2 linked regions of the Oryza sativa Japonica Group genome follow. The protein of the gene in region 1 binds, or shares a complex with, the protein of each later gene. Links are inferred from orthologs where the notes say so. Each region holds a gene or a part of one and is shown on either strand. Other genes may lie near its edges.

Region 1 (6,942 bases):
AGGAGTATGTAAAATTGGTTAACGGTGTGGTCTTGTTAAACCTTAGGGCCATAATACATGGGGTTATGTGTCATGTGCCAAAATCCCTGTGGTTTTGTGCAACTTGGACCATAATAGGTGGTGTTTGATAAAATTTACTCTTTTTATTTCAATGGTAATGAAAATATGAAGTTTAGTACTGTGTACAAGTACAAGAACATATGTAATAGTGGAGCGGCCAGTTCTGCAAGTTCATGCTTATAATTTATTTTAAAAGATATATTCTTAAGTGAGTTTTTCAACCCTCTGTAAATCAAGATGCAACTATCATACCATCAATGAACAAGTAAAATACCAGGAGAAGATTATTAAAGATGGCTTGTGGCTTACAGAATTTAGCAAAACAAAATAACGAAATTACCGCATTGTATATTGCTTTCAGAGTTGGAAGCTGTTTAGGAGATACCACCGACAATGAAACGGAGCACTACATCAATATAAGTAAAATTAATTAGAACCAACAATGACTGCTGACCACTTCATTGAAACACAGGTAATCAGCAATATGCTAGATATCAGTATTTGTGTAGGACCTGAGCAAATGATTTTGCAACAGTCTCAGCATCAGCAAGACAAGATTCTTTTGCTCCATCATTGTTCTCCTTGTGATCGCTACTTTGAACAAGGGGGCGGTAGACAGGCGTAGGCAGTGGATAAGGATTACTTGCTGCAACAAGTATGCAATGTTTTTGTACTTCATGGCTTTGATGATTCTGACTGTTACTAGAACTGCCTTGGAGTATCTAGTTGCACACAGGAAATAAAATCATAAAGGCAATAAATACTTTAATTCATAGAGAACTCAAGAAATAAAATGATATCAAATTCAAAGACCCAAGTATTTTTCAACTAGTTATAGGCTCATGCTGTCATGCATTGCAATGGTTTTTTTTATTAAGTTTAGTGGGAGGATTTGGGCCCAGTGAGCTGTTCGGTGTTTATACAATGGTTGGCTTTATTAGTAAACAGTTTTTTTTAGGGTGGACAGTTTTTATGGAGGAAAGAGGCTTTTATGTGGAGGTGGAGGAGGACGATTCCCTCTTTATAATAGTAGGGATGAAGACTGAAATTTTGATTTTTGAAGACTCAGTACCATAGGAAAATTAACATACTAATATAGGTACATTCATAGAATTTAAACTTCTGATCATACTAGTTTCACTCTGCTTATTCTGGGTACTGGCCCAGACATCCAGTTTCCTAATAGGGTTGATCTAATGAAAATCTTCCTTACAAAAATTAACCTAATGAAATGGTGATTACAGTTATACACTCTATTTACTAAGGTAAGGCTATCTGTAGCTGATATCCAGATCAAGACATTTTTTATGAGACAATAGCTGATAAGTGGATGTGCAAACCACCTTAGAATTTTCTCACATGAATCATATGTTGTGCAGAAGGGCATTAAAGGACAGATTCTAGAGAATACTGGAAATAACAATACCAAGACAACAAGCTATAATTCTTGGAAAATAAAGTAATCCAAAAGGTTGGGTAGAACATGTATTGTTAAGTATCATGGTTCTACATAATGTCCAGGCTCAACTAATAGTTTACAGGGCTTACTATGAGAAACAAAATTGTAGATCAACTAATTTAGACAAAACTGGACCCAAATTCAGGTGCAGTGAGAGATGAAAAGAGGTATTTCCCTTCATCTAGGAAATCAAAATATCTCTGTTAATAAGATACCAAACTCTGCCTTTGCTTCAGCATAGCTGGTCCTAACGCTGAGTAAAGGAAGAATGTTGCGATAACATTGGTAAGCCATCATAAAAATCCCAGTCGTTCCTGTGGAGATGAATTATGGTTTTGGATAGAGTTGCATGGAAATTGGCGGTCCACATGCCCAGAATCATGACCTAATTCACGTCTTCTTTAACTATATTGTTATTACTAGTACTATACTTCCCTTAGTTTTTTTGTGGCTGCACATCAGTTTCATCTCTAGCCTACCCCAACTTGCCTGGAACTAAAGGTTGCTACTGTTGATGTTAACATGAAAGATGTGCCATTTGGCAAAAAAGAAACATCATTTCATATGCCAAATGAAGCATGATTGCACAAGCCAAACAAAATGCTAAAACCTTGCACGGGAACTCAAAAGTAGGCAACCATATGCAGTACTGAAATTTTGGAAGTAGTAAGCCACAGTTTCTAATTTATGCATTTTGAACCAAAAAAAAAAAGTACAGGAAACACCAGAGGAAGTCATTATGTGCAAAAAGTGAAAAGAACTGAACGATGCCAATATGTCAATACCATCAATGCTTCAGCAAGACCTTCAGAAATAGCAGCTTCACTAAAGCCTCCACCACTAAATGATATTCCAGATAACCATGAAAGAAACACATTCATATCTTTTGTCCATCCACTCCGTTGCACACAAAAAGCTGCAAGGAATCAAAAGCGAATTATCATAGCTTACATGTTTTGTTGATATAGAACTAAATACAAATAATTGCAATGGATCATAATAAAAAGCTTAGGGCATGGAGGATATCAAACTTTACCGCTATAAGGACCATGGGTATGGAAGACGACTAATGCAAGTTCAGGGGGTGTCCCTGCGAGCTTCTGCATAACACGATAATAATTTACACTTTTGAGTTTTGACACAAGTCAAGGAAACATGGATCAAGTAGTAAGTCCGACGATAAATACTGAGAGCAAATTACCTGTCCTGCCATTTCATGTGCACAAAAACTCCTGCATAAATTGAAATGCTTCATGAATAGTAGTACTAAAAATGCAAAGGTTACTAAGTGCTACAGAAATTGACAAAAATTTCTAGCAAGAGATGAGCTTAAAAGTTTCATGATAGTAAGTATATGAGAGTGAAGCTGTGGTGGATCACCACATAACATCAAAGGCTCCATTTGGATTTTGCGTTGAGGTGGACTATGATAATCCTGTTCCGTACAGTAGCTTATAGAAATTTTGATGTTTGGCTAACTGCTGCTCTTTTAATCAAGTTGCAAATAGAGATATTATTTCAGTTCTAAAAACAGAACACTTGTCAGAGAAATAACAGTTTAAATTGACTAACAGAATTCGTCTAACATTAATTTGATTTCTCAAACAGACTACGAAGTTTTTCTTAACTGTTTCCACAGAAGCTAAATAATAAGCACAGGAGGATAGCAACTGCAAACAAACCCTAATAATTCAGAGCAAACTGATTATTGACCAACAATACAAACAGCTCCCACTTTCATTATTTTTTTTATTTGAAAGGCTTGAACACAAGAAATTTGACTCATGTGATGAATATTCCAATTACACCCATGCGAAACCAGAACATCAACTAATTAACAAGAGTGAAAACAAGGACTTCAGAAAAGCCATAACCATAACCAAACAGACATCCCATCATTACATTACTGGTTGTACAGAAGAGTAGTAAAATCACCAGCCAAAAACTGAAATTGGTTTTCATGGGAATCATTCATCATTCATGAAAAAAAAAACACTAAAATATGCTAGACTGAAGAAAAATACTTCTGAATGAGCAAGGAGGAACTAGAAAAGGCATAAAACCCAAAGTAGAAGATGAATTATGCTACATTCTGTCATAGATCTGCACATATGCAGTGATACAAAGTCTCCTCGAATCAGGAGCAAAAAAAGATGTATCTCGTGCCACAACACCATATAGCCAACAACCAACCAGTTCATCAAGAAACCACGAATTTCCACACATCGATGATGCGCTTGCATTCTTACTCTTTGAATAAGCATTGTGAAACAGAATTGAAGCTAACTAGTACCATTTAATGTTTGCAATTAAGAAGGTGAGAGCAAACAACAAATCTCCAAATCTCCTACTAATGCTTGGAGTGAACGATATATCCGACTAATATAACTAAAAAACTGTGTATATCAAACACATACACGGATAGCTGCTAACTTCCACTATCAAGAACTAACTAGCTACCGCTTCGCGTTCCATGTACTCCCTTCGTCTCAAAATAAACAGCTAAACAATCAACAAAGGGTCCAATTCTTCCACATCAAGAAATCCAAGATGCACTAATCCGCGACGGCCGTACAGTCAACTAGTAACAAGAAAGCAGGGTGGCGCGGCGGGGGGAGGAAAGCACGGGCGCAGCATTACCGCACGATCTTCTCGACGTAGTCCGCCACGGTGACGGGCCAGTACGGCCCCAGCGCCGCCGTCCCCTCCACGGCCACCACCAGCTGCCTCTCGGCCGCCGCCGCCGCCATCCCCCCGACGGCCGCCCCCGCCGCCGCCGCACCCGGCGCCACCCTGCCGACTCCCCGAATCACCGCCTCTCGAGCTCCCCTCCCTCCCGCGAAATCAATCTCCCCCGCACCAACGACTTCTCCCTCCCTCCCTTCCTTGCCGGAATTTCTCTTCTTCTTCTTCTTGTTAGGTTTCGTGAGGTTAGAGAGAGATGACGGCGAAGGGGTGGGGTACTGGGGTCTAATTTATATGGGCCCCAAGGCCCATAAGAAGAAAGGTGGGCTTTTGTGTGGATGACAGGTGGGGCCATAGGGGAATATGGGGAAATTTTGGTGTAAAAAAGAGTTGTATTGTTCTTTTATGGTGTTTAGTAAATGTAATAATAATGGTACTCTATAGTTGGGAAGAATTGTGAGCATTTATTACTTTCTTAGTATACATCAGGTTAGTTTTGAGTGTAGCCTTTCGGCTAAACTAAGGGTATTTTTAGGAGGTACTCCCTCCGTCCCATAATATAAGGGATTTTGAGTTTTTATTTGCACTGTTTGACCACTCGTCTTATTAAAAAAATTTGGAATTATTATTTATTTTTTGTGTGACTTACTTTATTATTCAAAGTATTTTAAGCACAACTTTTCGTTTTTTATATTTGCACAATTTTTTTAAATAAGATGAGTGGTCAAACAATGCAAATAAAAACTCAAAATCCCTTATATTATGGAATGGAGGGAGTAACTAAGAATCGGGTGCCCGATTTTCAAGAGAAAAATCGGGTGCCCCCCTCCTGCACCTCCTGCGTGTGCTGCTCTCTACATATTCGTTGCATGCATCATGCATGTCAACTACTTCATCCGTCTCAGAATATAGCAACCACGGAGGGAGTATTTCCTTGCCTCATCTCTGCGTGTGTTGCACCCTACATATTTGTTGCATGCAGCATGTATGTCAACTACTTCCTTGCCTCATATCAGCTACATGCAATATTCCATAATTCCCTATCTCTCATCTCTCCATACAAATCTTGCTTTTCTTAACACACTTTAAATGTTTTTTCTCTTAAATTATTAATCCAATCTATAATATGATTGCACCGTTGTATTTCTTGTAATTCAAATCTTTACAAACAAGATCTCACATATAAAAAAAATTAATGATGTTTCACCACTTATAAAAAATTGTTTCAATTCGCTAAAAAAATGTTCCAGATAAATGCAACATTCAAAATATAATGACTGCAATATCATCAACCTCTGCACGAAACATCAAGTCCCAACCAGTGAACTCATATAAAGACTCGTACGAAATAAACGATATACTTATATGGATATTGTTAAAACACATTTATATTTGTTGACGGTCGTTAGTGATCAGTTTCGTCCGTCAACACTACTTAAATAAAAGAGAACTAGTTATGCTTGCAATGCATATTTATGTCAAAATAATAAATATTCCACTGGCACTAGGATTACTAACCTCTTGCAGAGAATGAACACTAAGTGGAGAAGAATCGACATCAAAACAAGTGATCATTCAATCAGACAATGTCGAGAATCAGACCTATCAATGAATAGGTCAAGAATGCAAAAATGACATGACCAATTGGGCCAAAATTCACAAGTCTGAAGTGAGCAACAGAAGACGAGGCCGCTAGCCGAAAATGGGTCGGCCCCTGGTTCGGCCGAACCCATCCTGGCGCCGTTGGATGCAGGGTTGCGGCTAGACGGTATGGATTAGCTCCCAATGACGGTTGGAGGGTATTTCCGACCATTCCAACCGTCACAACCGTCATTGGGAGGCTATACAAGGAGCTCACTCTCTCCATTTCAAGACACACCACAAGCAAGAAATTCATTTCATCTATCAAGTTTAATATAGTTTCTAGAGTATAGTGGAATAGAAATAGAATAGAATCTTCAGTCCTCGGAGTCTTCGGAAGAATTTGGGTATGGCTCTAGTAGCTTTTCCTTCTTTTATAAGACTTGTACTTTATTTAGAATATTCTTCTTTATATTACTTTGGTATTGTATTACTTTCCGAGTATATGAATACCAGATTTATTACATACCCAAGTTATATTCATTATGATGCTAGCTTATCTGGGAGATGCAATAGTGTGGGTATTTACGATGACTCTATCATGACGATGATATTATAGTAGTATTTGGTAATTTAAGCGTGGTGTTTAGATTACTAGATATCATTATATGGGGTTATATGTTGCGGAAGCGAAGCGGGCCGCTGATGGTGACAGCTCAGTACGGGTATTCCTCCGCGCGTGTATATAATCCTAAGTTAATTTTCTGAGGAGGGTACTCCTCCGTATTTAGCCCCAGTTGGATGGTCATGATGGATTGTTGTAAGGAACTCGGTAATCAGGGGTGGCTTCTTGAAGTACAGGAGGGCATCTGTCACGCCCAGAAATTTAACCCAAATTCCCAGACTATTTTGCGTATTAAATCCCTGTCCAGGACCAGCCAGGGTACACAAAACGACAAGTAATATACAGTTCCAAACGTAAATAAAGCGTAAAATACTTACGGAAGAGGCACTTAGTCCTCACACCTAAACAGAACGACAGCAGCGGAAAAAGGCGATCCTAGCGGGGCTTCAGCTCCACTCCACAGGCAAAACTCAACTGGGGTCTGAGCCTTGGTCCTCTAACTCCATCTTCAGCTCAGAAGCACTACACTTCT
Region 2 (6,942 bases), on another chromosome or scaffold:
TATTTATTATAAAACCATTTATTTGTATAGCTCCTATTTTAAGATATGTTGATGTATCGAAAAGCAGGTAATTGAAATCAATGATATTTTCTACATCCTAAAATAAATTCAAGCGTTCATTTCAACGATGATTATATACCATTACAACAAGATCAACAATTCAAGATCTTTCATAATTGCAAAAACTTTAAGGTCCCTCACAAAAGTGATACTAAGGGTCTGTTTAGATCCCCCGTCAAGTTTCTTTATCCTGTCACATCGAATGTTTAGACACATGTATGAAGTATTAAATATAAAAAAAACTAATTACATAGATTACGTGTAAATTGCGAGACGAATCTTTTAAGCCCAATTACTCCATGATTTGATAAATACGTGCTACAGTAAACATTTACTAATGACGGATTAATTAGGCTTAATAAATTTATCTCGCGGTTTACAGATGGATTCTGTAATTTGTTTTGTTACTCCCTCCGTCCCACAATATAAAGGATTTTGAGTTTTTGCTTACAATGTTTGACCACTCGTCTTATTCAAATTTTTTTTGCAAGTATAAAAAATAAAAAGTTATGCTTAAAATACCGTAGATAATAAAGTAAGTCACAAATAAAATAAATAATAATTTCAAAAAATTTTGAATAAGACGAGTGGTCAAACGTTGCAAGCAAAAACTCAAAATCCATTGTATTATGGGACAGAGGGAGTATTAGACTAGGTTTAATACTTCAAATATGTGTCCGTATATCCGATGTGATACTGTAAAAAAAAAATTCACCCAAGATGTAAACAAAGCCTAATGATCTTCTCCCTCCATATGGTCAATTTGATCATCACACAGACTGACTGACTGACACATGGTTGGCCCTTGAGCTTTCCAGCAGGCAGCCATGGCAACAAGTTTCAACCCCTCAACCAAATTCCCAAAGGCAGCAACAAATGGGTGGAAGATGTGTGACGCCCTGAACGGCCCAGGGAAAGAAAGAAACACATATTCCGTGGACAGCGAAACCAAGAAACACATAAAAATAAATCGAAGAAAGCAAGGAACACGTGTCACTCTCGAGTCGGGTATCCATCCGCTGAGCAGCGCAGCCAACGAGATGCGAGTGTCTGGGTTTTCTTGGAAACAACCGCATAAATCCGGGTGAAAAAACAAAAAAGAAAACAAACCGTGGACCATATATATCAACCGTTAGTGGGAGTAAAAGAAAGTACTTTAGGAAAAAAAGCGTTAGTAAACTTTTCTAAATGTGGCACGCTATAACTGAGTCAATTTTCTATAAGACATAACTATCACCTGATTAAATGAAACGGTTGATTACTTGTTAGGAATTTTACACTAATAAACATAGAGTACTCTACTCTACTAATGATAGTGTACACAGACCTAAAGATAAAAGGAAAATATAAAGTCCTTATCGGACACTAAACACACTTTTCTAAAGATAAAAAGGAAACTAACAAACTATTCCTAATTAATAGATAAACTGCCATGCCGCATCCTCTTTAAACTCGGTCACTTAGAGATAAGCTTCCTTTAGTAGATTGATTTCCTTAACCGAATATAGCAGGAATTCGACTATTGGTGACTTGATAACTCTCATCGGCTGATTCCGAGATGCTACAGCCGATAATGATTCTAAGCCGATGACGCCTTTGTCGATTATCAAATTTCACTGTTAATAGATAGCTCAGTTTTTTATAAATAGAAAGGAGTATTTGCCGCCTAAATATTTTCTTTGATGATACAGCGTATATTGCTAATCAATCTTGATCGCCATTTACTAATCCAAGATTTCGCTACTACATTAGCACCTTGTTTTGAAAAGGATGCTAAAAGTACTCCATTCTTTTTCTATTCAAAAAAGAAGAAGCTATACAGAGCATAAATATTTCTTTGATCCTACGGTGTACTACTGTGCTATACTATATCAAACCATCGATTGGCATTTACTAATCCAATACTATTTCCTCGCACCATGTTTCGAAAATGATGCCAAAAATAGTCCATTGGGCCTCAACAATTAATAGTACTCCTAAAGCACATTCTCCATTCCATAAAAAAACCACCCTATTACCGAAACGTGACACATTCTAATACCACAAATATATTTATATAGATACAATCCAAGTTTACTTTTTAAAATTTGAGTGGCCTACGGCGGCTACGGTTGCATGCACGTATTTTCTTGGTTCCATAAAAAAAATAACATAGTGTTGAACGTCTATTCAGATTTATAGTATTAAAATATATCATATTTCGTACTAATTTAGTCTTTTATAGAATTGAGAGAGTACTCTATTCATCTAAAAATGGACAATCCTTCGTAAGTTGAGTTTTTCTTTTGGGATGGAGGTGGGTACGTGCATACAACTGGTTCACATACTATAGACACTTATATATGAAACAAATAAGAGGATGATCCTATTATATAATAACAGTGATATTATGGTAGATGATGCTCACCTACCCAAGTTTGAAAACTAAACTTGAATTAAGTGGATATCAAACGGGAATCATTAGCCCAATAAACAAAAAACGAATGCTACTATTACCAACCAAACACTACAGGAAAGAGTAGTACTAGTCCCACTCCCACCAACAACAGTTGAGATCCTCTCCAGTACTGCATGTGCCGTACTGCTCACTAATATGTGGGCCCGAGGGGCTATAGGGCTCACATGTCAGGGAGCCTACTGCATGAGAGGACCTGCATCCCACCAACAACTCGACAGGGTCAAAGCCGAGAAACAGCCACGAGGCCGCCTCCCTCTCCAAAACCGTAGTGACCTCGCCCTGTGTGGCTGTGTCCCCAAACCCGGTAAAAAAAAGGGCCCCCCCGGAAAGTCCTAGACCGAGAAAAGCTGCGACCTCCGTTGCGCGAGAGAGAGAACGAGACGAACGGAAGGAGTTGGGAAAGGGAGACGCGAGATTTGTTGTTACCACTAGGAGGCCATGGTGGTGGTGGTGGTGTGCGTGCGGGGGAATTAGGAGGAGGAGTAGTTGTTGTTGTTTGGTAGAGTCGAGCTTGCGTAGTTCTCGTGGGCTCTCGTTTTTGCGTTGCGTGTGCCTCGCCATCCGCCGCGTCCCTATCCAACCCCCCTCCCCGCATTCCCTCTCCCCCTCGTCGTCGTCGTCTTCCTCCTCCTGCGGCGGCGACGGCACAGATAAGATTTGGTTAGGAGCTGTTTTGTTTGTTGGGTTGAAATCGTCAAGTAACGTGGACGTGGGGGTGAAGCAAAGGAAGGGAGGGGAGATTGGGTTTGGGTGGTGTGAGGATTGATTTGTTTTTTTTTTTTGGGGTTTTCTCTTCTTGATTGATTCGTTCTTGGCGTTGAGGAGAGGCAGCGGTGTTCGTTAGATTGATTTTTCGCTGTCTCGGGAGAATTTCGCTTTCCCGGTTGGGGGATTCCCTCGGTGGGGGGCATCTGATTCGCGATCGGGTTGGATTAGATTCTTTTGGTGCAACGTAATCTGATAAGGGGAAAAAGAAATTTCAAGATTGTGAGGAGGAGGAGGAGGAGGTGATCGAGAGAGGGCATCGATTCTTGGTGGTGCCAGGGGAGCCATCGGAGTCGTGGGGGTGGAGGTGGAGGTGGGGGGAGCCCGATCTCGGGTGGCCGCGGCGGCGATGGCCGACCGGCTGGATCGGTGGCGCGAGCTCCTCCGCGGGGCGGCCGGCTCCGCCGGAATCTGCGACGTGATCGAGAACGCCATCCTCGTCGCCGCCGCCGACGCGCCGCAGGAGCTCCTGCGCCGCCGCGACCGCATCTGCGAGATCCTCTTCACCGCGCCGCGCGCCCCGCCCTGCCACCACGGGTGCGGCAGCGCCGCCACCCCGACCCCGGCCACCCCCGTGGAGGAGGACAAGGGCAGCGTGCGCCGCGTCCCCGAGAAGCAGAGCAAGGTGGACAGCAGCAGCAACGGCGCCCTCGGCGGCGGCGGCGGCCGCCGCGACGACGTCGATGACGACTCTGACTCTGACTCCGACGACGAGCGCCTCCGCCGCGCCGCGGCGAGCAACTACGGTCACAACTACGATGATGACGACGAGGAGGAAGAGGAGGAGCAGGAGGCGGCGCCGGCTGAAGAGGACGAAGAACAAGAGCTGGACCCCGAGGCTGTGGAGCTTGAGGCACTCACCAACGAGATCGACGAGGAGTCACAGGTCGTCGGCGAGGTTCTCCGCATCAAGGACCTCTTCTTGCACAAGGAAGATCATGTATGATGAACTATTCCCAGCTTTCAGTTCTTCCATGAGTAAGAGTTGTGCCATTCCTCAACAGGGACTTAACATTTGATCTCAACTGTGGTTTTCGCAGTCGGATGCTACTTTGTTCGAATCACTGAGGAGGCTGCAGCTGATGCAATTGTCCGTTTCCACGCTGAAGGTACTGTGTTGGATAGCGCATATGAGCTATGCGGAGTGACGCATAGTGGTTCTGTTTGGTTTGCTAATCTCCGATGTTGTTTGTTGTAGGCTACTGAGATTGGGAGGGCTGTTAATGGGCTGCGGAAGCACAACTCGCAGCAAATTCGTCACCTTGTGCGCACTCTCATTGAGTAAGTTCAATATGCTTGCACTAAATTTCATTCTCTAGGGCTGATCTAGCTTTTAATTTAGAGAACTTGCTGAAGCAAATTGATACTCTACTGTACCTATAAGTTTCTGAAAACATGATACGAGTCTACTGATTTAGCTTCTGTATTCTCCAGTCTTTGTACTACTTGAGTGAATTATTTACCTTATTTGTAGTGTGGTTATTAACCAATTTTGGAAACATTGTTGACGTCTTAAAACATTTTTTTTTCAGAGGTTGGAAAATTTTGGTTGATGAGTGGGTCAGCACCACTAATGTTGCCCTTACAGGTAATAAAAGTTATTTTGTTTCATATCGCGTATGAGTCATCAATTTGTAAGTGAATGTTCACCTCTTAACATGTAATGGATCTTTTGATCTGTAGACAACTCCCCGGGCTCTTCAAAAACATCTGTTGTCGATGATGCTGATGATGAAGGGCTTCCTTCTCCACCTCTGGATGAAGGGGCGTTCTTTGCAACCCAGACTACTGCTATTCAACTCTCTGAGGTACTAATTTTTGTTTGTTCCTGGTATCTGGATTGTTTTGGTCCAGAACACAATTCTAACTTTGCATTGTTGTTTTTCTTTCTGCTTCATCTTCCTGACCTAAAGTTCTTTGATGAAATGGATGAAGATGGAAGTAAGTACAACAACTCAAATTACATAGTTTCCCTTTTTTTTCTGTGCACTATAATAATTCAAGTTATACATTTTATGACAGACTTGAGACATAACAATGATGGGAGCCTTGGAAATAAGAGAGAAAATTATGGCAGGAGGCCTACAAGCCATCCAGCTTTGACAAAGCAAGAGCCTCCCCGTAACATGGGAGCTGTTGAAAAAGTTCAATCCAGGAGGCCGGAATTGGCAAGGCAAGAGCCATCAATGAGGCAGGCTAACCCACAAACCCCTCAAAATTCAAGTTTGCAAGTCAAACAGCAGGCCATGCTTCACAAGCAATCTAAGCCCTTGAGTTCTGATTCTGGACCTGGGAGACCATTAAGGGCAGCTCCTCAGCAGAAGCCCTTTGTTGAGATGAAATCTAGACTGGCTCGAGAGCAGGTTGCTGTTGAAAGAAAACCTGCAGCGAGCCATGTGGATGTAAGTATATATGCTATTACTAAGGCCTAATAGTATGATAATCCTCAGAACATCATGACTTAAATATCTGAACTTTGGTTCTAGAAATCGAGGCTTCCTGCACAACCTTCAGCAGGAGTCAAGCTAGAGTCGGCAAAGCCAAAGATCTATGATGGTTTGGAAAGCAATAGTAGGCTGGAAGCAGCAAAGAGGAGGCTCCAGGAGCGCTACCAGGAAGCTGAAAATGGTTCGTCTTTCTTCTTTGTCAACACTCATTACCCTCCTTTTTTAACTTGTACAGCTCAAATATTGAGGGTTGCGCCTAATTTTCTTACTGCTCCTTCGACGCAGCAAAAAGGCAGCGCACCATACAAGTAATGGAGCTGGGCGACATACCAAAGCCTAAGCATCAAAATAGACAACCTATGATGAAGTCAAGGAATCACATTAGAAGTTGGGCAAATGGTCGGCGATAATTCTCCCGTGATTCTTTTTTCCCTCATCTGATGAATCATTACCATGCCTGGCTGGTCGGAGCGCATATGCATGCTGACTCGAAACACCTGAACTTAGTTGCCAGGGCTTAGAACAGAACTTTTTTGAACATATAAACACCTCCAATGGGTGGTTTCTCTTTGAAGACGCAAGAGCTGCTCCGGATGCAAATCCAATAAGTAACACCTCTTGCATCCGGAAGAGTTTAGTCATGTCTGGTTATTAGGAGATTGGGCATGTAGTTCGACCTGTACCGGCTGGTTACTTTCTTTCTTTTTCTTCAAAGGAAGCTGTAGATACCAGATAGAATAATCGTCAATATTCTCGTACATTCTATCTGCCCTCAACATTTTACATGATTCAGTGAAACACTCATGGCTCACACTAGACTTTTCCCTTGCAACAACTGTGGAACAAATACGCTTCTGGTGAACTGAGCTAAGGTCAGCAACACCTTCCAGTGATGGCAGTAGTGTACATACATCACTACATTTGCCAGACTGCCAAATTGATCAGCTGCTAGACGTTCAACATGTTGAAACGCTTCACTGTCAAGGCGTGAATTCAGAGTACGTTTCAATGAGAGATTTTGTTTGGCTATTGAAAAAGAGGATTGGAACGAGGGAGAAAGCGATTGGGAGATATGCGTGTGGGCGCTGAGTGGATTTGGGAGAGAGCGTGGATTCCACCGGGCGGAGTGGTTGCCCGGCCATTAGCATGAACAGCCACCCAAAACGGACACGGCCCCACACCACCCCACCCCCCCCCCCCCCCCCCGCCCAA

The links. The genes of interacting proteins can lie anywhere in the genome.
Region 2: mediator of RNA polymerase II transcription subunit 25 (region 1) and probable mediator of RNA polymerase II transcription subunit 26b share a complex: the UniProt entries of both Arabidopsis thaliana proteins name them as parts of the mediator complex. The link is inferred for Oryza sativa Japonica Group from reciprocal best matches to the Arabidopsis thaliana genes PFT1 and AT5G05140.

The regions. Positions count from the first base shown.
Region 1 is NC_089043.1:12,243,266-12,250,207, reverse strand, and holds the start of mediator of RNA polymerase II transcription subunit 25, read right to left. Parts: upstream 4,466-6,942; 5' UTR 4,270-4,465; coding exon 4,160-4,269; intron 2,752-4,159; coding exon 2,721-2,751; intron 2,620-2,720; coding exon 2,556-2,619; intron 2,436-2,555; coding exon 2,305-2,435; intron 783-2,304; coding exon 573-782; intron 467-572; coding exon 401-466; intron 1-400. UniProt on the Arabidopsis thaliana protein: Component of the Mediator complex, a coactivator involved in the regulated transcription of nearly all RNA polymerase II-dependent genes.
Region 2 is NC_089039.1:20,345,926-20,352,867, reverse strand, and holds probable mediator of RNA polymerase II transcription subunit 26b, read left to right. Parts: upstream 1-2,807; 5' UTR 2,808-3,632; coding exon 3,633-4,223; intron 4,224-4,323; coding exon 4,324-4,392; intron 4,393-4,481; coding exon 4,482-4,564; intron 4,565-4,815; coding exon 4,816-4,871; intron 4,872-4,966; coding exon 4,967-5,091; intron 5,092-5,196; coding exon 5,197-5,224; intron 5,225-5,305; coding exon 5,306-5,685; intron 5,686-5,769; coding exon 5,770-5,911; intron 5,912-6,015; coding exon 6,016-6,140; 3' UTR 6,141-6,541; downstream 6,542-6,942. UniProt on the Arabidopsis thaliana protein: Component of the Mediator complex, a coactivator involved in the regulated transcription of nearly all RNA polymerase II-dependent genes.